Oryzias latipes: one gene and its partners. The protein of the gene in region 5 purifies or fractionates together with the protein of the main gene of each other region. This does not show direct contact. Links are inferred from orthologs where the notes say so. Each region holds a gene or a part of one and is shown on either strand. Other genes may lie near its edges.

Region 1 (3,500 bases), on a different chromosome or scaffold from region 5:
ATGCACGGCCACAGCACATACACATCCCCATTCCACAACAGTGGGTACAGACGATCCTGGCTTCATTGCCTTCTTAAAATGAGAAGATTGTAATTGTAAAGAGCTCCGCTGTTGACAGTTTTTTCTCGTCATGACGAGATTAAAGTCGACATGACGACTTTAATCTCGTCATGTTGGCCAGAATATTTTTCCCTCACCGTGGACCCTAAAACTCCGTCGTAGAAAGGTGAACGGCCTTAAGAAAAAAAATCGAATTTTTTCAACAACAAAAAAAAAAAAATCGGAATTGAGCATTAAGCCCTGCATTGTGAACGTAGCCTAAAAGAGTCCGACAGATGAGCCTTAAACGTATGTGCGAAAACATTTCCTGAGCCATAATTCATATAGACAATCCTTAAAAAACACAGCAGCTAGGAGGTGAAGATTAAAGCTTTTTGACAAACAGTGTAATCACTCATGTTAAAAAACGATCGCAAACAGAAAGCCATTGCCCGACTGGATTCACTTTACCTGCTATTCTGGTCATCATTGGAGGCATCACTCAGATACAGCAGCACTCGTCTCTCTAGATAAGCCTGGATGTCCTCGTCATAGTAGGAGCCGTCTCCTGTGAGCAAGTCTTTCACCTGTGGGCTCAGCAGAACCGCTTCAAAATCTCCTTCCAACAAGGACTGCAGCAGAGAACCGGCATCTACAGAAACACAGGAAACGCAAAGGTTCACTGAAACTCCAAAAAATTCCTTTGAAAAGTTACTAAGTCTTGAATATGTTAAATTAAGTCTTTTATTAGAGCCTTGGTTATAAAGTAATGTTACATAAATTGCAGTAGTTCCGTATTTATGAATTACAATGCAAATTATCCACACACATTAAAAAGTTTAAATGTATTTTCTCTTGACAACGAGAAAGACGTTCAAAAAAAACAAAGCAACCAAAAGGCCATAGGTTCTCCAAGTCCTTTTCAGTTGTCATTTTTTCCACACTACAAGCTAGACTTAAAAGCCCTTATTTATTTTCTTAAACAACAGTGCACTTTATAACCCAAAGTATTAAGGTTAATTCTGGTTGTGCTCACTTGTGTCGAAGGAGTTTTGCCAAGTAAACGGTGCTGTCAAAATACATGTTGCAAACAATGTGCACCTCATATATGAAATGCATGAAAATGGCCGATGCGCCTTTTAATCCACTACGCTCAATAGTGTGAAAATACGGTCAATCTTTTTTATTTTTCCAATTCTGTGCTTTTGAAAATAAAAATAAAAAATGAATTAAACTTATTCCTAGATGAGGTTTATATGTGAAGGACAATGGCGTCCTCCTGAGTTCTGCAGTCTCCCCTCTGATGCCAAACTTGATGAAGCTCAGCCTGTAAACCCTTCTCCCTTTTAGCCATCATCACTGATTCTCATCTTGAGCTAATTCCGCTTGTGTCATTGGATTTGGAAGAAAGTCTGAAGGTTAAAACTGCAGCACACAGAGCGGGCACCATCACGCTTGTCTTCACATTTAGAGGTAACATTTTGGACTGACATTGGAAAGCCTTCAGCTTTACAGCTTTCGATGTCCTTCAAAGTTTTCAAAGCTAGTTATCAGCCAACAGAATAAACACCAACGTCCTCACAGCTCCATCAATCTGCCCTCGTTTGTTTTGTTGTGTACTCATCATTAATCCCGCCTCCTATTGTGATTAAGTCAGTAAGGACAGAGACTGTTCCCTGCAGATTATCATGTTGCTCCATGTTACTGTGAACTTGACTGAGCTGAAGGCAGCCAGATGAAGAGACCCATGTGTGAAGTGATGGCAAAAAAAACAAAAACATTGATTTATAGCAGGGCAGCTGCAGGGCCACCGCTTCCCAACCAGAAATAATGGCGTGGCTCAAATGCTCTGTTTAACTCCTTTTTCGATCAGCTTCTTACTAGATGCCAGACTGGTTGGTTCATTTGCACCGATTGCTTTGTTTTCCCCAGCGGACAAAGCAAAGGGAGCGATGGGGTACTGAGCCGCAGAGGAAAGCGTGCTAAAACTAAGGCGCTTATGTTTTCTAACCAAAGGACGTCGCTTTATATCCCAGGAAGAAGCAACTCCTTGAACAGACAGGCATGCCTGGAATACCAACAAAGATCCAGGATGATGTCATCAGTTGTCTGCAGAACACACATCCCGCAGCTTCATTAACACTATTTAGACTAAATAAATCTCTACTTTATCTTTCTCAAATGCGGGTGATATCAAGTCTGCAAGAGCCCAAGAAAGGACGCATGAAAATAGATTCTGTCTTTCAATCCATCTGAATCGTGCAGAACAAGCTCACCAAAGACACCCAACAGTCTGGGAGAGTATGTGCAGAATTCAACAGGGACAAACTACAAACAATTGATGAAGGTCACGTAGGCAATGGTCAACTTCAAAAAGGAAGCAGTGTGTACAGAACTGGGTCTGTCCATTTCTGGGGCTACATGTGGACAATGTGGAAGTCACAGCTGACATGGTTTAATAAAGTTTTCCACCCCGAGAGACAGGAACTGAAGGTTCAATTCCATAGTCAGAAAATGGCAAAGACAGTAGTATAGAATGCCTATTTGCTTGCTAAGCAGTACTAAGAGTTGGATCAGGGGTTAAATCCATAATTGGTTCCCAAGTGCAGCTACCACTGATGGCACCTTTCTGCAGAACATTATGGATCTTAACAGCTGTGTGAAACTAAAAGCAATTTAACTTTGGGTGTCGTTATCCTTCCCTCCACTATCCAAAAACAAACATCCCGAAGCCTGCTAGAGATGCAACAATACATTTTGCTTCACAATTTGGTTCAAACCTCAATTTTTGGGTCACAGTTTTGTTTTGGTTCATTATATATGATTTGTGTTACAAAACAACAACAAAAAACTAAAACTTCCGATAAGCCTTTTTTTTATTAGCTAATTAGCAAGTAACAATGATGTTGGCTTTTACTAAGCCTGATGTAAAAAATACTAAAAAAATATATTCTTCTTAAATATAGCGCAACACCTAATGGTATGAAGTAGGTATGGAGAAGGGATGCAACGATTCGCTGTCTCCACAATTCAGTTCAGTGGTGTAACAACCAGATCTGTTTTAAACTGAGAATTGTGGCAACTCTAGTGCCGAGCATCAACATCTGAGTCCCTCTTGACAGAACTGGTTCCATTGCTAGTTTTGGAGTCAGTTCTTTAGTTCTCCAACACCTAAGCACTGGCTCCCGACTCTCAAAACATCTTACAAGTACTTCAAACAACTACAGACTCTTTGCTGGGCAAAAGCAAAGAACAACTTCCCTTTGGTTGCGTGAAGAGTTTGTGTCAGGGTTATCTGGCTAAGGAATAAACACTCACACACTTAACTGTATTCAAACTAGCGAAACAACAGATTGTACACAACTTGTTTGAAGAAGAGACCTGCAGTTTTATGGGACTGTTGTCTTCAAAAAATCCAAAGTAAAGCCAAAAAAGTTATTTGTAGAAAGAAAGCCTCTGTT
Region 2 (3,965 bases), on a different chromosome or scaffold from region 5:
TCCAGTGCTTGGACAGCCGCTGCCAACGAGCCTAAAATTCATAAAAAAAACAAAACAGAAAAACTTTAATGACAAACAACAACTGTTATAAATGTAAACATTTCAGGTATGTTTAGTGTTTGGGAAGAACATAGTGATTGACAGTTGTTGTCGCTCTTTTTTCTATGGGGTTTAGAGAAACTCGAAATTGCAAAAGAATTTGCACGTACGTAATGTAAATTTGGCAAGCTGATTTAAGTACGTGTACATATTAAACTGCAACGTTATTGACGCACAGGTAGAGAAGAAGCGGAGTGACTTTTTAGCCAATCAGAATGCAGAACACAATGCACGATGCAAATCCGTGAAGTAGCGAAACCGTGAAAAGTACACCGCGTTATAGCAAGGGATCACTGTATACAAAAAAAGCATAGTTAGGAGATTAATGAACAATCTAAGTGTTCAAATATAAAGTAAATAATTCATATTAATTCTAAATCTCTTCTTGTTTTTTGCCTTTACATATTTTTGAAGTGTTAAAATTGTAGAATCACAGAAGCAACAGCCTCCACATAAAATAAAAATCATTGTTTTTTTTTAATAGACATTTTATTTGTCACACACATATACATCTATTGTATGTGTGCAGTGAAATGTATTGCACGACTGAGGAATGATAACGATAAAAAGCTAGATGACTGAATAGAAAACAAATTTCAATAACAATCCAGCTTACTTAAGGTCACAAAAGTTTAAAGTGTCCATTATGTGGTCTAAATGTCTATAAAAGTGAAGTTTGCACGTGCATTTAAATGTTTCTCCAGACACGGCATCTAAAAAACCGGCTATATTTTTTATAGATACGTTCTGTTATTTGTAAGAATGTTTTGGAAATCCTCAGTGAGTGTGAACAGTTCATTTGTGTCATGCGACGCATGCCATGTATGTAAGTGAGCCATGTCATTAAATGTAACCGCTTTCATGTCCTCTGTGTTCATACACACATTCATACATGAATTACGAGAAAGATTAATAAAAACAGAAACCCAAATGCAAAGCACTTACGGCCTTAAAAGTCTCGCTGAAACGCCCAGCAACCTTCCAAACTGTGCGTACGCCGCCATGATTGTTATGGTTAGCTAAACAAGACGGAAATGTGGATTGCGCAAGCGGAAATGACGTAAGTATTTTGTTCATCTGTTAAAGTGTTCCCCGAGACTGCTAACGCGAAAGTCGGTTTTTGTAAAGCTCTGCGTTATAAGGAAACCGATACAATACAAAAATGCCTTCCGGTAAAAATTTTAGGAGGAGAAGGGACTCATCAGATGACGAAGAGGAAGATGAGACAACCGAAGAAGTCAGGTGAGTTAGTTAGACGCAAACTTGCGCCAGCTACTGAGGTAGCCAGCCTCCGGCTAACGTCGTTGTGTCTGTTCATGATTTTTTTTAAACTACATCTAAATTTTAAGATTTTTATTGGAACAAAAGTTTACCACTTCGAATCTGTGCTTCTATCTTGTTTGCAAAGATCAAAGCTAGAGGAGGCTAAAGAAATCCAGAGTTTAAGGAAACGTCAAACCGGTGTCAGGTAATCATTATCACTGTTGTTTCTCGAACTCAAAATATTTTTACCAGATGTACGTGAGTTAAAAAAAAAAACGTGTTGTTATTCTTTAGTGTGACTGCATTACTCGTTGGAGAGAAACTTCCACCAGAGGCTGAAATTGATGTACGTATGGTCCGGATGTTCCTAACACTGCACTGCATGTCTGAGTCACAACAGCAACAAGACTTGTGTAACAAACAATCACTGTTTTCAACAGAATGACCCGTTTAAGCTCAAGACAGGAGGCGTGATAGACATGAAAAAGGTGAAGGATAGAAATAGAGACATGTAAGTAAAATGTTTTTTTATTTTATTTTTTTATATTCTTATTCATTTTATGAATGTCTTACACAGCTTGCCATTCTGTACATAATGCATTGTTTTTGGTTGTTTTCAGGACAGAAGATGAGACGGAGCTGAATCTGGGTACATCCTTCTCAGCTGAAACTAACAGAAGAGATGAAGATGCAGACATGTAAGGACTCGCTGTACAAATACTATAAAACTTTAATGGCCTTATCCACACCTTTTAAAACAAACACTTAGAAAAAAACCAAATCCATATGAGGTATTTTGGAATCAGAGCTCCTTAGACTGTGATTCCATGATGTTTTATCATCAGCTATTAGAGTTTGGTGCATTGCTTGTTGGATAAATGGCCCCATATACGAATGCCTCAAAACTCTCCCTTTTTTTGTGCATAAAGATTTGTCATTGCAGAAATAAGTCTTGAATTTCTTCTTACAGGATGAAGTATATTGAGACAGAGTTGAAGAAGAAAAAAGGACTGGTGGAGGCAGAGGAACAGAAAATCAAAGTAAAAAATCCAGAGGACCACCTCTACGAACTTCCTGAGAACATCCGAGTCAATTCTGCCAAGAAGACGGAGGAGATGTTGTCCAATCAGATGCTGAGTGGGATCCCGGAAGTTGACCTTGGCATTGAGTATGTTCAGGAAGCTGCAAAAATGATCCCTGCTTTAACTCTTCAGGAGGTTTAGTGTGTGCTTAACCTGTTTGTGATTGCTTTTCTAGTGCAAAGATAAAGAATATTATCCAGACGGAGGAGGCAAAAGCAAAGCTTATCGCGGAACAAAGAAACAAGAAAAAAGACAATGGCACCTCATTCGTGCCCACTAACATTGCGGTGAATTACGTCCAACATAACCGCTGTAAGTTCTGGAAGTTTAACTAGGAAAAAAAAAAAAACTGACTCTGAGAGTAACTTGAAAATTGTCCTTTTTGTTTCAGTCTATCATGAAGATTCAAACGCAGCACAGAGGCATCACAGACACAAAGAACCAGAACCCAAACCAAGACCACTGCGTGTGGGTGACACAGAGAAACCAGGTCTAGAAGGTATGACACTTCACTTTCAAGTGCTAAGAGAAGACCGTTTTTTTGTTTTGGTTTCTTATTTAGTCTTTCTAAGGTAATAAAATAAAACAAGGTTTTTAAGAAAATCATTACATTTATTTTAATTTAACTTTACAAATAATCTCACCTCCTTTTTATTGTTTTATATTTAGCCTGTAGATATTCTCTTAAATCTTTGAGAAATGTAAACTAAAAGCTATATTAATTAATTAAAATTTGAAATGACACTGTCTTCAGCAGCTCCATCTCCACCCAACTTCCGCAAACGGCCGAACAACGAGAAGGCCACAGATGACTACCACTATGAGAAGTTCAAGAAGATGAATCGAAGATATTAAAAAAGATCCAGCTTTTTACCGAGTCCAGCAGAGTTATTGTCAGTCGTGACATGGTTATTAGTTTAGATAATTCACATTTCTTTGCTGTTTCTTCCGATTTAGTATTTGGTCAATTGTTTGTAGAAACATCTTCCCCTGTATTTCGTAGATAAAAACAAAACCTCAATGCTAATGAGCATTTAAAATCTTCACACTGAAACCAAATCTTCCTTCAGTCCTGCAACAATTTGAATACCAACAGCATCATTAGTATTAAGAAACTTTAACATACTTTACTTGCTGATCAGTTTCTCAAATTAATTTTTAAAGCTTTTTCTGCTCAATTTATTTTCGATGTACATAACTTCCTGTTCCTTGAACTGTTAGAAAAGATAAAACCATTAACGATGTGTTCTTTTATTTTGGCTAAAACATAACAAAAACATTGCTTGTTAGGTGTAAATATTTAGGTCAAACTGTATTCAATGTTCAAAGATTCATATTTTTTAAATCTTTTTCTTTTCTTTTCTGTGAAGTTTATTAAGTTACCATTGAAAGATGTGTATGGACAATAAATGGGACTTTCAAATCCAGTTTCAAATAAGATCAATGTAACACCACAACCAAAGGTTTAATGAAAACAAAAAAATGCTGCTGTCACAGAACAAGAGTTCTGTCCATGTCCAA
Region 3 (3,970 bases), on a different chromosome or scaffold from region 5:
CTGTTAATGCTTTTTTAAACTTTGAAGGACTTTAAAAAAAATGTTTGCATTGATTTAACTCATTTATAAAGTTATTTTGCTATTTTAAAAAATATGCTTTCAACTCTAATTTTAATAATAATTTCATAGGCATTTTAAATGTTATTTTTGTCCTTAATTGCTGTATTTTTAGTAAGTTAACAGGTTTTAAGGCTTTTTCCGGTCCTCCTGTGTCAAAATCCTCATGAAAGCAGATATTTTCTCTTCTCTTTTATTTAACAATCTGTTAAACAACTTCATAGAATCAACAAAAGAGTCACAAATACTGTGTCTACATACACAAATAAATGAATTTATTTACACCCCCGTTTTCCAGGTGTCAAACTCCAGGCCTCGAGGGCCGGTGTCCTACATGTTGTCCAACCAACCTGCCATGAAGCACACCTGATCCAGGTAATCAGTAGCAGATAAGGCAGGATATCTTAAAAAAAAAAAAAGAAACAGTCTGACACCCCTTTTGCGGTCTTCTATAGGTATATTTTGTTTTTGTAATAACATAATTGTGTTATTTGTTTATTTCAACATCCGTTAATGTCTACTCAGATGAGAGTGAAATATAATTATTTGTCGTATTTGGGTTAAGTTTGGAAAATCCTGCAAGATTGACAGTTCCGAGAATGCAGCTCAGGCTGACGACATATGAAGACGCTGCGTTCACAGACCGCCGGAAACTCGGATAAAAAGTCTGCTAAATCTCCAAGCTAGCAAACCTCGACGGCAGCGGTTAGCTTGTCTCATACACCGACTCGGAGGAAAGAAAACTCAAACCAAAAACGGTAACGTAACAAACCTTGCGCTACATCCAATAAACCGGGTCCCGCGGAGCAAACGCTGTCCGTCTCGACCTGAGGATCCAGATCGACCACCACCAAGTCCGACACGTCGCTGACGGTACACCCGGTTTCCAGGGCTTCGAACTCCATTGAAACGCTCGCCAGAGTCTCGGTTTAACGGGATTAAATGAGGATCACGCGGCACTTGGAGCTTTGAAACAACAAGCGGAGTTCTGAGCCCACGCCCTGACACTTTCAAAAGATCCCGGTCTGCTGCAGCTCAGCCAATCACAGCAGGGAGCTATATAAAGACCCGCCCTTGTTTTTTTACATGCGCGGATCGGCTCGGTCTGCAGTACCACAGGACAATCGTTAGGGGGCAGTAATGACGTAAACATTACACGATCTACCGTAGAAGAAGAGGGTTTCGGCCGGCGGTCTGCGCTATTTCAAAGGTACAAACGGGATTTAAGTCAAAACTACGCGTATTATATAAATATTTGTCATGTAAACAACAGCGCATTTCGCAGCTCTTTTCGGCTAGACAGCATTTTTGTTTTGTTTATAAGCATTTGTAACGTTGTTAGCATGTCGCGCTACTACTAGCATCGTGCTACTTAGCATGCTAACTAACTTCAGTCTGAATCTTGTTTTTACGAAGTCAATATTCCGAGTTATTTTTATTTTTATTGCCAATCTTTTTAAATAAAATCAAAACAAAAGCTTTAGTTTTTTAGGCACAAAAAAAATTCATATATGAGATGAAACAGATGTTTTAATTCATGCGCTGTTAAGGCTGATGATCATGATGATGTTATTATTGTTGTTCGCACGTATTTTTACTAGAAAACAAAGTTATGGAAAACATATTTAAAGTTAAAATCCCATTAACTGTGAGAAAATTGTACTTTGATCCTGGAGGAGCGGAGAGCTGCAGAAACAGCCGCTCAGGAACCAGGGGGGTATTTTCTTTATTTTTAGCTTTTTTTTTAATTGAAAAAACACTTGAGGTTTACAATTTGTAACAATTGTATACAATTATGACAAGTATAGAAAAGTAGAAAAAGTACAGGACATGAACAAACAACATAGGCAGGATAAAATAAAAATATAACAATAATACCGAAAAAAAATTAAATAAAAGAAATTAAAATAAAAAGGGGGTCACATAGACATTTTAATGATTCTTGACTTGGGGGGTTCTCAAAAAGCTGCAAGTTACATATAATACTTTGAAGTTCCATAGCAAGTTTGATTTCCATGAAGTTTGCAGATGAAAAAAAGAGCAGAGTTCTTTATGAAATGTAAAAGAATATGGTTGGATTTCAAGGAATTGACATTTATGTATATAGAATTTACCCAAAATAATTACAACATTTAAAATAAGTTCTGTGTTTTTTTGTTTTTTAAATTAAACCCAAAAATGATGTCCTTAATAGAAAAGTCTGCTAAATGTGGGATTTGGGGGAAAAGCCAATAATTCCAAAAGACATTAGAGTCAAAACATTCAAAGAAAAGATGCTCAGTTGTTTCAATGTCATCATGACAAAAAGAACAGCAGTTTTCAGGAATTCCAAACCGTTTTCTTAGTAATTCCTTGGAAGGGTAAAATACCTGAAAAGGTTTTAAAATTGACTTCCTTGGCTTTAGGAGGGATGGGGAGTTTGAAATATTTGGTTCGTATTTGTTTCTTTTCTGAATTATTGAAATATTGGGTTATATAATTTGAATTTGAGATGTAGGGAAAGGACGTTTCATTCAAATATTCTCTGATTTGATGGTTGGGGAGTTTGAGTTAGGGTTACCAAGTCCAGCGTAATTACACTAACTCAAATCTGGTCATACCGACATACCCAGAGTAAGCAAGTTCAGGCGGATTTCAGCCAGAGTTCAGGCTTAAAGTCAGGCTAGTTTAAACGTGCTTCCTGGATACCTGCCTGAACTTACCGAAATCCTAACCTTGACCCTTCCTGTGGGTCCGTGCAGCCAATGACAACGTTCAGCACTGGCTGCACGTGCGCATTCTTGTAATTATTGACCTTTTATTGGGTCATTATTTCAAAACATTTATTTCAAGTTTGTTTTGAATTGAACAGAATTAGGACTTAAATAATTATGCTTGCTTTTAAAATGGATGTAAACATAGAGGATCATTATTATTTTACAGGTTATTTCCAAAACCCTCATATTTACTGTTGGATGCTCGGTGGTCCGTCCTCACAGGTCCTAGCAGCTTGTTGTTGTTTTGGTAGATGTTAAAACCAGTCCATGCAGGTTTGATGGGGTGGCCTGACCTTTGGTGTCTTCCTCTACAGTTTTGGGGTTCCCACCTGACCGGGTTTGTCTTCCTCGCGGCTCGGGGTTCGGCTGCAGCCGCGGCTGAAGATGTCGCAGCAGAAATGCGTCCAGAGCTGCGGCGACGACCAAGAAGGCTTTGAGCTGTCGGCCAGTGACGAGTCGGAGCCCGAGGAAGAGCTGAGCCGGGCGCCCTTTGACCCGGAGCTGGATGACAGCGACGACGGGGGCGAGGAGGCGTGCGCTCTCGGCGCCACCCGCTCAACTGCGAGCACGTTCGTCTTGAGCGGAGGGAACTCTGCGTTCTCCGACCGCAGCCGCAGCGTCTTCGACTGCCTGGATGGCGTCGAGAGGCAGACGGCACCTCTGCTCCCCGAGGAGAGCATGCCCCCTCCCAAATGTCCCCCTCCTGCAAAGAAGAGGGGGGTCCCGGACTACCTGCTGCACCCTGATCGCTGGACGCGCTACAGCCTGGAGGACGTGAAGGAGACCACTGATCAGGAGAACCGCAGGGCGGCGCACAACTTCCTGTCCAGTCTGCGGCCTGAAGAGGGCAACCGCCCCCCCGGTGAACCCCCCCACGACCAGCAGCAAAAGGTGGTCTTCTCTAAACCCAAACGAGCGTTCAAGGAAGAAATCTCTGAGTCAGACCAGCAAGGAAAGGAGAAGAGACTGCACCTCAGTCACCTGGCTGAGGAAGAGGAGGAGGACAACAAGGCTGCTGGAAAGACCCAGCAGGATGCAGAGGAGGTCAGAGACCAGCAGGAGTCCCTCCCCAGCTTCACCCCCTTCAAGAAAATGAAGAGGAAGAGCTACAGAAGGAGCTCGGATCACAAGGATGAGTGCTAAAATGCTCGATTTGA
Region 4 (4,018 bases), on a different chromosome or scaffold from region 5:
ATTTCATGACGTGCATTCAAACCCTGAGAATTATTCTATGTATGTACTAGAACAGAATTTCTGGCATGGTGGTACAACGGTCAACCGCTAACATTAATATTCCTAGTCCAATTCCCACTCCCAATTACGTTCACACCAGACGTGTCACACATTCTTGGACATGCGTTGTCATATGGTGTTCACAGTGGACGGGCGCCAACACGTCCACCACCTCCAGTTGGAGGAGGCTTGGGAGGAAAATTCAAAGCGGTGCAAATCTCCAGGCGTTTTCTTTCACGGCTCGATTCCGGTTTATGAAAGACTTGGTGTGTCATGTAGTTCTGGCAGGGCACAAACTGCACATTTTGAATTTCTCCTTCTTGATCACCTTTCAACCAGTTAGCCCATTTGGTGAATTAAAAAGGATGCTACGCATGCGTCACTACCAAATCTGACTCTCTGATTGGTCAAAGTTCAACTGGTTTAACTTTCAAAGTGCGTTCAGTGGGTGCAGGTTTTGTACAAAAACAGACATCAAGACTCGCGCAGAGATGCACGAACAAAAGAGTTTTGACCGAAGAAGCCGGAAATGCGCATTTACAAGCGTTTACATAGACTTGGACTCGTTGGAAGTAGTGGCGTAGACGCGGATTCCCGTGGGCGGTGTGAACCTAGCATGCCCGTGCTCACGCCGCGTCAGTGTGCGTCTTACCAGCTGTGTCCTCCTCCTCTGAATCAGAGTCAAAGTAAACGCTGTCGTACATCTGAGGGTTGGAGGAACCGACAACCTCGCTGCCTCCTCCAGTTTCTGCTGCAGGAGAGAGGAAACCTTCACATGCAATCCCTCCTGAAACCTTCGTCTGCAGTCAGATTAATACAGAAGCAGACCAACCCCTCCAGAGAACAGCTGATGAGCTGCCTTTGCAGAAAAACATTCAAAATTTACAAACTATTGGTTTGTTTTGGGACTTTTATTTAACACAAACTAATCATTCAATTTCTCCTGGAATTGTGGAGGATTTGAAGGTTCTGGTGGATGAGAGGTTGTGGACTCCGGCTGGTTTGACTTGACTTTCTACTATAGCAAGTACATTGTATTAAAAGAGCATTTTTCTATTTTAAATTGAACAGTATTTCTAAAATATATCTTTTTTCTAATGTTTGTATGATTTATTAATTAAAACAAAGTAAAGAAGCCAAACATGAGTGGTATCAGGTCAAAACTATTGTTTTTGAGTTTTGCATGAAACCTGTCTGGATCTACAAATCCTCCCATGCTGGTCACTGATCTGACTGTTCATTACAGCTCAGACCTTAAAGTCTGCAGCTTCTAAAGAGAAGAACAGCTTTTAAAGCTGCACTGAATGGAGGAATGGAAACATCAGAAGACCTGTGGGGTGTTCCAGGAAGCATGTTTAAACTAGCCTGACTTTAACCCTGAACTCTGGCTGAAATCCGCCTGAAATCGCTTACTCTGGGTATGTCGGTTCCAAAAGACCGGGTATGAGTTGGCGTAATTGCGCTCGACTTGGTAACCCTGGGTTAATGCTCGTGCACAGCAGGTACATAAAGACATTCTCAATAGATCGCCGATTTACGGAGTAACCATGGAAACGCGTGGAGAACAATGGTGGAAAAAGTATTATCTGAGCTTCTTCATCCACTAAATCATCTTCAAATGGACACGCCATGCTGCTTCACCTCTCTGAAAACAAACTAAGCTTCAACTAAACCTGCTCCAGACCAGGTTATGTTCAGAGCATGAGTTACTATGGCAACTTGACCTACCCTGAAGCATACCTCCATTTCTAAAACAGAAAGCTGAGGGTATCAACTTCCTTAGCCTCAAACTTACCGTGGTAACTAGCATAACCTGCTTTCTGGAATACCCCCCAGATCAGGCTCTAGAAGCAGAATGAGATGGTTTTGAAAGGAGAGACGGACAGTTATGCTGCTGCTGCTGCTGCTGATGATGATGCTGGGAGGCGGCTGAGGTTGGGGCTGGTGGCTCCAATGTGGTAAAGTGGTTCAAAACAACAAGCAGCTCTCTTTTGTACAAAAGCTTGGTGTTTCTGTGTTTGGAAGGGCCCTGTGTGTGTCTGTGCGTGTTACGGGTTACCGGCTGCAGGGGCCCAGCTTCCTTCCATGGTCCTGAGGGTGGAGCTCAGCTCTGCCTCCATCTCCTTCTCAAACTCATCCCCGCTGGAGGACTCGCTCTCCCCGGTCAGGTACTCCCGGATCAGCTTCTTCTTCTGGTCCGGCGTCCCGTTCAGCAGCACGTCCAGCTCGTCCTCGGAGCTGAAGACAGGCGTTTCTGTTCAAAACTGGACTTTTGGAAACCTTCATCATGATGACGATCATGAAGCAAAGCAAAACACAGCGCCAAAATGCGACATATTGCGTCTCTTTTATCATGGTCTAAAACCTGATTCAAACTTTAAAATTAAACGTCTAGGAACTGGTTTATCCTGCATATATTCTACCTTTAAAATCAAAAACATCATTAAAAACCAAATCATAAACATGTAATGTTTTTATCCGTTTTTGTTGCTTTCAGCTGTTGTTAGCCTCGTGCTGCTAGCATGAAGCTAACCGTCTGTTTACATCATACCTGCTCGAAGCGCGTTCTTCGTCGCTTGGCTCATCGATTTCATAAGCCTCACTTTCCACCGGTCCGTTAAACTTGCTCATTTTAACAATTTTAAACTTTCTCAGAAGACAAAACAACGGGAAAGATTTATCCCGAAACTGGTCTACACTCTGTCCAGTCTGACGTATGTCTTCTTCTTCGGCATCGGTTCTTCTTCTATGGTGGTAAAAGCACTTGGAAAACTCGTTACCGCCCTCTTGTGGAGAAACATTTTAAAATCATTTTTACTTCAACTATCTAAAAGGAAATTCATTTCAGAACTAAAAAATAAAAGTAGGTGGAATATAAAACAAAAGAAACAAATAAAAATAAATTTATTTATTGCTAAAGCCACAATTTAATAGTAAAATCGGTCAGGTTAAAATGCTGAAGCTAAATTTAAAAGATTAGAAAAGTAAAATTAATAAAAAAGAAGAAATTAATTATTGTTTGGATTTAACAGTAGGTATAACATGAAAATAATTAAGAAAATTTTCAAACATTATATATTTTTATGTATCCCCAAAATATAATGATAACTATAGACTTCAAAAAGCATTAAATAAAAAGTTTTTCAAGATTAGTTTAAGGATAACCCATGCAACTTGAAAAGGACAATAGAGGTGAAAAGATTATTCAGCCATAAGCGCTCATCCTGGCAGCTCAGGAACAAGCCCTGAGTACCAGAGCAATAGAGGCTCAGATCTACCACACCAGACAAGACCCAAGGTGTAGGCTGTGCAAAGAGGCGCCTGAAACAATCCAGCACATAACTGCAGGGTGTAAGATACTGGCAGGGAAAGCATACATGGAGCGCCACAATCAAGTGGCTGGAATAATATACAGGAACATGTGTGCAGAATATGAACTGGAAACCATAAAGTCAAAATGGGAAACACCTCTGAAGTGGTAGAGAATGAGAGGGCAAAGATCCTGTTGGACCTCCAGTGTTATGGCTGTGGCCGTATTCGGTTTTGTTCTTTTTGTTCTGTCTTTTTTGTATCATAGTGGGACTTCTGTGTTTTGTGGGTTTTTGTGTGTCTGTCTGATTACTTTGGTGCTGGAAAGGGTGTGGCTTCCTTTTGGACCCAAGCTGATGGAGGCAGCCTTTACAAGCAGCATGTGGACCCCCAGCCTGCCAGAAGGGAGCTTTGCTGCAACCTGTCTCCACGGAGGTTATTGTTTTGTCACAGGTAAGATTTCAGATCTCAGTCAGGTGGGGTTTTGTTTGTTATTTTGGGTTTGGTTCACCCTGAAGCCTTTTTGCTTCACCTTTTAGTTATTGTCGATCGGTATTTATTAATTTGTAAATAAATGTTATTTTTTATGGAGACACTCTTTTGGTGTTTTTGGTGTTAATTTAAAGTCAGGGCAAAAAGACTTTACTGTTATGTTGTGCTCCTCTAGGTC
Region 5 (4,155 bases):
TTTGTGTCACAAATAACCTCCTAAAATAAAATACAAGTGTCCTGAATATTGGAAAGGATTACCCAGAACGTCCCACAGACAGTCACAGACTAGTGAAGAAGCTGCTTCAGGGGAGTGTTGTTAAGGAACAAAAACGCATTTCTGCGTCGCTGTAAATGTTACGAAAACAAACAATGAAAAGAGTATAATTCTGACTAAGAACTGCCCTTCGCACTTTTTTTTTTACTAACATGCAAAGAACAAAAGCTACTTTACGATAATGTTCAGATTCGTGGCGAATTCGCTTCGCGGACTCTCGGCTGTAAACACTGGCGGACGCTGCGTAACACCTTATTTGTTCCGTCGGAAACATTCTTTTTAAGAACAGTTCCACTCTTTAAGATTTCCTTTTATAAAAAACAACAAAACCAACAATTTCCTCTCTAATAAAAGTATTAATAAATATTCAGTATTTTATTAAATGAAATTACAGTAAAAAAGACAGGAAATATGTATAATGTCAATATGTCATTCAAAAAAAACATGCTACAAAGAATGAAAATGTGCATATTTTACTGGAGAACATCTGAATGGTGAGTGAATACTTTTTAGCTTATCTTGGCTTATTAGGAAACAATTCATATTGCAAAGAGGAATGCTGACATGCAGTGGATGGCGTTTTTTTAATCACAAAACTCGGAGATCTCGACAACTGTTAAAAAAAGGAGGAATAAAACAACTTGAGCATTCCAATAAAAGAGGAAGCCGTTTTTTTTTTTACAAAGTCTATCTTGACCAGATTGGAAGAACCATCTGGAAATTTGAGTGCATAGAGTAGCACGGGTCCTAGGGACCAAAGTCATACTATTTATCAGAGGGTACGACACTTTTGAGTTTTTCCCAACATCTAATCAATGCCTTTATGGTTTTGATCACCCTAAATCTCTTGCCTTTTCTCCCTTGTATTTTTTGGGCAGATGAACAGGGGTTTTTCTTTCCCTAGAAGTAAAAGAAAAAAAGAAAAAAAAGATAAATTAGTTCAGATTTTTAAGTTTTTTTGCATACTTCAAAGATCTGCATCGGTACTTTTTCTCACCATATAATTAGGACTGCAGTTTTGAACGATGAGCTGCTCCATGTTTTCTATTGGCTTTTTCAGGTCAGACAGCTTCTTGCCGCTCTTCAAACAGAGGACCTGCTGTGTGTTAATGTATATGGACACAAGGATGCGATGTGCCTGCCATGAGATGGCAGGAAAAAGGAGAAAACAGACAGCATTTAAAGACCTTGATAACAAACAATGCAAGTATTTGGGTAGACAAAACTTGCCAAACTAAACAAATATGTCACATCAGGGTTAAAGAAATCTCCTTTTTTGTTTTTTTGTTTTTACTTTTAATATTGTTTTTTTTTTTTTAAAGCAAAATATTTTTAAATGTTCTATTTTAACAGTTTTCTGTAATTTGTTTCCATTTTTGTTACTACGTTTACTGCATTTGTTGTGTGTGTGATTTCCGTTTTACAGCCACCAAACTACATCTAATGTACCTATAGCATTGATGCTCACCTTTGCAGAGGGGCAGGGATCTCTCCCTTTGGATGAGTTGTGAGAAACAGTCAAATTCTGAAAAACATTAGTCATCAAAAATATTATTTTAGAAATCCAGTTTCATCTCATTCAAAGTGTGGGAAAATTCGTTTTGAGGCTTTTCTTTGTGTGTGTGTTGCAAAACAAACACTGGAGGGCAGTCTCTAACCATATATTCCAACACTTTTCTTAGTGTCAGCTGTAGGTAAAAGGCTGTTGAATATAAACAAACATTGAAATTCTTATTTTGCGGTCAGTTTGGTCGTCATACCAGATTCTGCAGCTCAACGAAGATGACTTCTCTGTAGAAGCCCAGTATGTCTTTGTAGTTACATTTACTTTTACCAGATGAGTTGGCCAACAAGAGAACCACCAGGACACTGTGGAGTAGAGTTCCGGTCAGACACTGCATAAAAGAAAGAGGTGTGGAAGTACCTTAAATGCAGCCCAGTGAAGACTGAATAAAATCACTCGGCTCCTGGGCATCTTTGTATCACATGACAGAAAGACAAAGTGCACAGACTTTGGCATTAAAATGCTCTGAAATCCACTTTTCCCAAGTCATAGTCTGGTTTTAAGTCTTTGGTTACAAGTCAAATCCAAAATGTTGGAAATTATTTTTAAAAATGTGTGATTCTCACTAATGTCATTACAGTATTTTAAACCACCTAATAGTGACACATACAGCACAAAAATATTAGACCTCAATCTGTTTTTTTTTTTTAAGGTAAAACTAAAAATAAACTAAGAATGTTCTCAAGTCCTCAAAGTCTAGTCTGATGCTCTTGAAGTTAAGGTTTCAGTCTTAAATAGGCTTTCAAGTCTTAAATCCCTGCCTTTGAAACTGAAGTGAGACTCAAGTCCGAGTCTCAGGTTTAATTCTCAATCTCTGCTTTGGCATCAAAGCACTAAAACAACTCACTTTGTCACTGTGCGTGCGTAATTACGCACCAGTGCGCTTACCATTTATTATGCTCTTCAGCAGGATCCTCAGACGAGCAAACCTATGTCTGACAGTGACTTGCAGGTTCGTGGAATTAACGCTCCAGCTGCTCTCATTATCCTTCTGCTTCCTCTCGGTACTGTCTGCACTGCACACTTTCTCAGGTGCAGAGGTCAGAGCTGCAGCGGGGTCAGTCACAGCCGACGCAGCGCTGCGTCTTTCCAGCATCACCCAGGCTGCTGCTGCTGCTGCTCAATTTCCTCCCCGTCATGGACTACTGACGCTGGGTTTAGGATTTCATCAAATTCCAGTCGGTTCAGGTCGAGGAAACTCCTGCAATCAATCATCTGCCTTTGTGCTTTCGGTTTCGTTTGGAAGATAGGACACTAAAAGAGAAGCTTTTCTTCTCATCAACTAGCGTTACTTTCTAATAATAATGGTATTAATGAATAAAAGTTTAGAGGTCTAGTTTATGGTTGAATGATAAAATAAAGAAACCCTTTATTTGTGATTTAGACAAAAAAAATGAGAAACCACATTTTATAACAATAAACAACTATGGGAACCGACTGCGGGGGTGGGGGTGGTGGGGGTAACTGAACTGGTCCAGCAGAACATTTCCTACAATGAAAGTTTTTGTTCTCCCATATTCTCACATTTTATTCTGACATCTGAAAAACACTTTTATAGAAAGAAAGTTATATTTCAGCTGCATTGATGTAAAAATACAAGAATCAGCATTTAATTCAGTTTGAGAAATATTTTTTTGTCATTTAATGACAGAAACTTTGAGAACTGTCTAATCCTGTGGAACAAATGCAAATTTTATTCATGAAATCTAAATGAGATATTAGTGTAATTTAAGATCTCACCAGATAATTACTGCTGAATTGAGACTCAAAAGTTTAAAAAAAACTTTTTCTAGATGCATGAAGAGACTTCTCTTGAATATTGTAGCTGCTATGTTTAGCCTTACTTTGAAAACATCATTTGCAGATCATCGTCTGTCTCACTGAGTTTGGAGTCAGAATTCCCCTCAACCAAACATTCACTTCAGAAGGTCTGCATTGTTTGTTTGGGAGTAAAGACACAAAAATTAAAAGTTGAACAAACCAAACATGGAGTTTTTACATTGTCATTTTGCACACTCTATTGCGTAAAGTTTTACAGATTTCTTTCAAATTGCAGGGCAAAGCAGGATTGGGTCTTTTGCACAGGGGGACGGGAATGCATGCGCTAATTTCTGGCCAGAAACTTTAAGAACAGACATGAACCTCAACAAAAAAGAAGGTCTGAGCTAACTCTATCTAGACTCCCTGAACAATACAAAGGGGTGTCATTGTCAGAGGAAAAAGTTGGTCTCACTGATTATAACAGAAACAAAGTCTAAAAAATGAATTCATATTTCTGTTTATTTACTTAATCCTTGGTGATCCATAAGTTCAAAGATACTTCTAAGCTCTTTGAACCTTCATGGCTTCATGCTAATAAGAAATATAGGAGCATTCAGGTCAAAATTAGAACTAAAGAGAGACAAATGAAACAATTTGTGTTTATTTTTGGGGAGTGGGATTATACCGGGTGCGGCGTAGAAAAGAGAAAAAAAAATACATTATTTCTAGCATGATGCCTCATGTTAGCAGAA
Region 6 (4,208 bases), on a different chromosome or scaffold from region 5:
AAAGGCTTTATGTAAAAAATAAATACTTTTTAATTGAAGGTTTTAAGTCAACAAACCTTTCAGATTGAAGCAAAATGTTTTTCATGTACGAGATTTATGAGAGTCTGTTCAGATTGGAGACATTGAAAATCAGTATCAGATTTATGTGGGTACCATCACATAGGTGGTGGAGGGAAATGAAATAGCTGATTTTTGTGCAAAGCAGGCGTTGAAACGGTGCGTGGAGATAGAAATTTCGTTGTTAAAAGGCGTATTATAGAAGACTGGCAGAAACAATGTGAAAGGGAGTGGAAAGAACAACATCTATTCAGTATACAAGACAAAGTAGGGAAACGTATCCATCTTACATCAAACACCAGAGATCAAATAGAAACAGAAAATATCTTTATTGTCATTGTACATGTATAACGAAATTACAGTGCAATTTCTTCCGGTGGAATAAAAAAAAAAAAGTCAAATAAAAATAAACTAAAACTGCGAAACAAGACAATATAAGATAAAAAAAATGTATTAAAAATTTACAAAAATATAAAAAGGAGGTTACATGTTGTCAAGGTATTGCACGCTTCCCTAATAAATTAACTTTATTTAGCAGCGTTTAAGGCCACGATGGCTCTCGGATAAAAGCTATTTTTTAATCTGTTTGTCCTTGTTTTAATTGTCCTGTATCTTCTGCCCGAAGGCAGCAGCCGTTCAAATCATGATATCACGATCATGGATGGGACACACGGCTTTAAATACTACACTAGATTTACTAGGGAAACATCCCACTGGACTGTGTGAATGCGGGAAAGGGGAAGAATCAGTGGAGCACATTTTGTGTTGCTGAATTATATTGGGAAGAAAGGTGGCAGCTGGAGGATAGTGTACCATTGCCAGAGGAAGAGGGGTAGAGTTTGATGAGGCTTTTGGGAGGGGGGCAGAATTTCAATGTTGGTCTATTGAGGAGAATATAGGGTTTTTTGTTGTCTTTGTAGTCTTTGTAGTTGTCTTTTAGACCAGTTGTACCCCACTCCGACTCACACTCCAAGTAGGTGGCGACATTGCACCAGGTCGTTTGTGCCTCCCGCTATTAAGACCACAAGAAGAAGAAGGAGAAGAAGTTCTGCGCTAGAGGGCGCTGCTTCGTTTCTATTTCAGTTTTTCTCATCGTTTGACACCGGAAGAGGAAGACGATCGCTGTATGTTGTGCGCTCGTGCTAGCAGCAGAAGCATTGTTACGTAGGTGAAACGCTTTTTCGTGCGTGAAACTTGTAAAGACTTTGAAAGCTGGTTTATGTGTAAAGTCTGAACACCGTACCAATGCTCAGAGTTTTACCGTGAAGAAAGCAGAGCAAACTCAACTCCGTGGACCCGGCGGCCTGATTCAGAACGTGTGGTCAGACGACGTTGAAAGAACGGCTCCACCATGGCGGATGTTACCGCTCGTAGCCTGCAGTATGAGTACAAAGCGGTGAGTGAGGAATTCAACTAAGTTTCTGAAAATCTGTTTACATACTGACATGGAACAAATCAAGTCATTTAATATTTTTATTTTTATCTCGCCATCATGCGCGTGTAGCCGCTTCCTCGGTTAGCCACGACACTTTGCGCCAAAGAAAAACAATATATGACATGTTTCTAAATAAAATACGCTTACTGAAAAATTATCAATTTATGGAATAAACAAAGCAAAGTTACACTGCGAATGGCGTAACACTTCAAAAGTTAGTTTCCTTTTAACATTGTGGATAAACATCTGCGAATCGATACTTTCCTCGTCATCTAGATTTTTATTTAATGCAAACTATGATTTCGTACCCCCATAACTTTCTTAAAAATATATAGTTTAAATCATTTAAAAGGAAGATAATCCCAGTATTATTGTTGTTTCTATAAACAAATGTAGGAGGAGGAAACTGACTCGCTTATTTATTTGAGGTTGTGTGTATATTATGTGTATATAGTGTGTATGTCTTTTCACAACTTTGACTTTTGTTTTCTTTTTCAAATTGCTACTACCTGTAATACTTGAGGCATAATTAAAAGTATTTAGCAGGATTCTTAATTCATGAATTAAAAAAGGGGATAAATACAGTTGAAAGGGCTAAAGGGATTGTCTATTGCTGTACTGATAAATCACACCTTTTTTTTTCACCTTTTTTTTTTAACCTGGTAGAACTCAAACTTGGTGTTGCAAGCGGATCGCTCTTTGATTGACCGCACACGGAGAGATGAGCCCACCGGAGAGGTGCTGTCCCTGGTGGGGAAGCTGGAGGGGACCAAGATGGGTGACAAGGCTCAGAGGACCAGACCTCAGAACCTGGAAGACAGAAGAAACAAGTCAGTTCAGAATAACGCACACCAGGTTTTAGTTTACATTTGGCCGTGGCACTGTTGGCACCATAGGGTGCTTTGTCAAGCTGACAGTTGAGAATTTCAAGTAGAAAATGCTTTAGTTCTTGTGCAAAATGGTTAAACATAGATGAGATGGTTTGTATGATACTGTTGAAATAATTTACTAAATTTAATATTTTCATCTTGTTGGTGCATCAAAATTTGTTGAACTTGTTGTATTAAGATGTATTCATGTTAAAAGTAAAACACGCTAACTGGTTTTTTCCTTGTGCTGTTAACTTAGGAGACGAAAAAGAGATGAGGACAGGCATGACATCAACAAAATGAAAGGTTTTACCCTTCTGTCTGAAGGCATTGATGAAATGGTGGGCATTGTGTACAAGCCTAAAACCAAAGAAACCAGAGAGACTTATGAAGTGCTGCTAAGCTTCATCCATGCAGCTCTAGGAGATCAGGTGAGCCAATCAAATGTGGGCTCTTGTTCAAAATTGTGTTAAGTGCTGAAAGCTGATGTCCTGCCCCCCCTGTGCTGTTGTCTGCAGCCACGTGACATTTTGTGTGGAGCAGCTGATGAGGTACTAGCGGTACTGAAAAATGACAAAATCAGGGATAAAGAAAGGCGACGTGAAGTGGAGCAGCTTCTGGGACCTTCAGATGACACACGGTATCATGTGTTGGTCAATCTTGGAAAGAAGATCACAGACTATGGGGGAGACAAGGAATTGCAGAATATGGGTAACTTTTTGTGCATAAGATCTGTCACGTTTGTCTCTGAATCGATGGGTGTGCGTAACTGAAATAATCTGAACCCTTTGTTGTTTCTCCACAGATGACAACATTGATGATACGTATGGTGTCAATGTACAGTTTGAATCTGATGAGGAGGTGAGCTTTTTTTTGTCTTAAATTGATGGTTGTTCAACCAATTAAAGCTCAGCAATTATCAAATATTTTCTTGACTGAATTTTGATGAAAAGTTTGTATTCAGTCTTTGGGTTTCACAGTTTGAACCAGTTCCTGATCTTTACTTATTTTGTAGGAAGGGGATGAAAACCCGTTTGGTGAAGTGCAAGACGAGCAATCCGATGAAGACAGTGAGGGAGAGGAGGCGGTTGTGACCACCACACTCTCTGCCAATGTCAGTGGAACAGCTGCATCCTCGTCTTTTCCAGTGTCACATCTTCTCATTTGTTTCTCTAAAATCGCTTTTTCTTCATGTAGCTCGGCGAAACAGGTGACGTGATGACGGTGAAGAAAAAAGATTTACATCCTCGGGACATCGATGCCTTCTGGCTCCAGCGTCAACTCAGCCGTTTCTATGACGATGCCATCGTGTCACAGAAGAAAGCGGACGAAGTCTTAGAAATCCTCAAAGTATGTTTACCGCCTTGCCTGCTCACAGTAGATTCTCTAATCATTCCCAGGTGCGTTGATGTCTCCTTTTTGTGTCACAGACAGCCAGTGATGACAGAGAATGTGAGAACCAGCTGGTGTTGCTGTTGGGTTTCAACACTTTTGATTTCATTAAAATCCTCCGTCAGCATCGGCGCATGAGTAAGAGAAATGATCTAAATCAGATTCATTTTCTGTTTTTTGTTTTTGTATGTTTGTTTGTTTATAGCTGCTTTTTCCATCTCTAACCCACAGTTCAGTATTGTACAATGCTAGCAAGCGCTCAGAGTGAGGCAGAAAAGGAGAGGATCATTGGAAAGATGGAGTCTGATCCGGAGCTGTCAAAGATTCTCTACAAGCTGCAAGAGACGGAAAAGGAGGACATCATTCGAGTTAGATTTGTTGTTTGTTAAAGAAACATTTAGTCTTTTGGTTTGTATAATAAAAGTAATATTTTTTTATTAGGAAGAACAATCTCG

The links.
Region 1: the proteins of aar2 (region 5) and ttc27 purify together in Homo sapiens (affinity purification with mass spectrometry; 3 studies listed by BioGRID and IntAct, with this or other methods). This does not show direct contact. The link is inferred for Oryzias latipes from reciprocal best matches to the Homo sapiens genes AAR2 and TTC27.
Region 2: the proteins of aar2 (region 5) and c9h9orf78 purify together in Homo sapiens (affinity purification with mass spectrometry; 3 studies listed by BioGRID and IntAct, with this or other methods). This does not show direct contact. The link is inferred for Oryzias latipes from reciprocal best matches to the Homo sapiens genes AAR2 and C9orf78.
Region 3: the proteins of aar2 (region 5) and tssc4 purify together in Homo sapiens (affinity purification with mass spectrometry; 3 studies listed by BioGRID and IntAct, counting the BioPlex papers as one, with this or other methods). This does not show direct contact. The link is inferred for Oryzias latipes from reciprocal best matches to the Homo sapiens genes AAR2 and TSSC4.
Region 4: the proteins of aar2 (region 5) and eapp purify together in Homo sapiens (affinity purification with mass spectrometry; 4 studies listed by BioGRID and IntAct, counting the BioPlex papers as one, with this or other methods). This does not show direct contact. The link is inferred for Oryzias latipes from reciprocal best matches to the Homo sapiens genes AAR2 and EAPP.
Region 6: the proteins of aar2 (region 5) and snrnp200 purify together in Homo sapiens (affinity purification with mass spectrometry; 5 studies listed by BioGRID and IntAct, counting the BioPlex papers as one, with this or other methods). This does not show direct contact. The link is inferred for Oryzias latipes from reciprocal best matches to the Homo sapiens genes AAR2 and SNRNP200.

The regions. Positions count from the first base shown.
Region 1 is NC_019873.2:9,673,386-9,676,885, forward strand, and holds part of ttc27 (tetratricopeptide repeat protein 27), read right to left. Parts: intron 692-3,500; coding exon 511-691; intron 1-510.
Region 2 is NC_019867.2:17,116,366-17,120,330, forward strand, and holds c9h9orf78 (telomere length and silencing protein 1 homolog), read left to right. Parts: upstream 1-1,165; 5' UTR 1,166-1,261; coding exon 1,262-1,341; intron 1,342-1,507; coding exon 1,508-1,567; intron 1,568-1,656; coding exon 1,657-1,708; intron 1,709-1,802; coding exon 1,803-1,873; intron 1,874-1,982; coding exon 1,983-2,060; intron 2,061-2,332; coding exon 2,333-2,530; intron 2,531-2,619; coding exon 2,620-2,756; intron 2,757-2,835; coding exon 2,836-2,943; intron 2,944-3,198; coding exon 3,199-3,299; 3' UTR 3,300-3,870; downstream 3,871-3,965. Other genes in the region: NFU1 iron-sulfur cluster scaffold homolog, mitochondrial, read right to left, coding at 1-31, 1,045-1,103. UniProt on the Homo sapiens protein: Plays a role in pre-mRNA splicing by promoting usage of the upstream 3'-splice site at alternative NAGNAG splice sites; these are sites featuring alternative acceptor motifs separated by only a few nucleotides. May also modulate exon inclusion events.
Region 3 is NC_019861.2:37,264,295-37,268,264, reverse strand, and holds the start of tssc4 (protein TSSC4), read left to right. Parts: upstream 1-1,170; 5' UTR 1,171-1,267; intron 1,268-3,127; 5' UTR 3,128-3,197; coding exon 3,198-3,956; 3' UTR 3,957-3,970. Other genes in the region: shcbp1 (SHC SH2 domain-binding protein 1), read right to left, coding at 830-962. UniProt on the Homo sapiens protein: Protein associated with the U5 snRNP, during its maturation and its post-splicing recycling and which is required for spliceosomal tri-snRNP complex assembly in the nucleus.
Region 4 is NC_019880.2:24,339,498-24,343,515, reverse strand, and holds the start of eapp (E2F-associated phosphoprotein), read right to left. Parts: upstream 2,801-4,018; 5' UTR 2,671-2,800; coding exon 2,591-2,670; intron 2,278-2,590; coding exon 2,099-2,277; intron 791-2,098; coding exon 692-790; intron 1-691. UniProt on the Homo sapiens protein: May play an important role in the fine-tuning of both major E2F1 activities, the regulation of the cell-cycle and the induction of apoptosis. Promotes S-phase entry, and inhibits p14(ARP) expression.
Region 5 is NC_019865.2:15,451,661-15,455,815, forward strand, and holds the start of aar2 (protein AAR2 homolog), read right to left. Parts: upstream 2,801-4,155; 5' UTR 2,531-2,800; intron 1,974-2,530; 5' UTR 1,839-1,973; intron 1,604-1,838; 5' UTR 1,547-1,603; intron 1,217-1,546; 5' UTR 1,076-1,216; intron 979-1,075; 5' UTR 1-978. UniProt on the Homo sapiens protein: Component of the U5 snRNP complex that is required for spliceosome assembly and for pre-mRNA splicing.
Region 6 is NC_019867.2:18,376,549-18,380,756, reverse strand, and holds the start of snrnp200 (U5 small nuclear ribonucleoprotein 200 kDa helicase), read left to right. Parts: upstream 1-1,408; coding exon 1,409-1,453; intron 1,454-2,158; coding exon 2,159-2,322; intron 2,323-2,620; coding exon 2,621-2,792; intron 2,793-2,879; coding exon 2,880-3,072; intron 3,073-3,166; coding exon 3,167-3,222; intron 3,223-3,376; coding exon 3,377-3,475; intron 3,476-3,558; coding exon 3,559-3,711; intron 3,712-3,791; coding exon 3,792-3,891; intron 3,892-3,984; coding exon 3,985-4,121; intron 4,122-4,194; coding exon 4,195-4,208. UniProt on the Homo sapiens protein: Catalyzes the ATP-dependent unwinding of U4/U6 RNA duplices, an essential step in the assembly of a catalytically active spliceosome. Plays a role in pre-mRNA splicing as a core component of precatalytic, catalytic and postcatalytic spliceosomal complexes.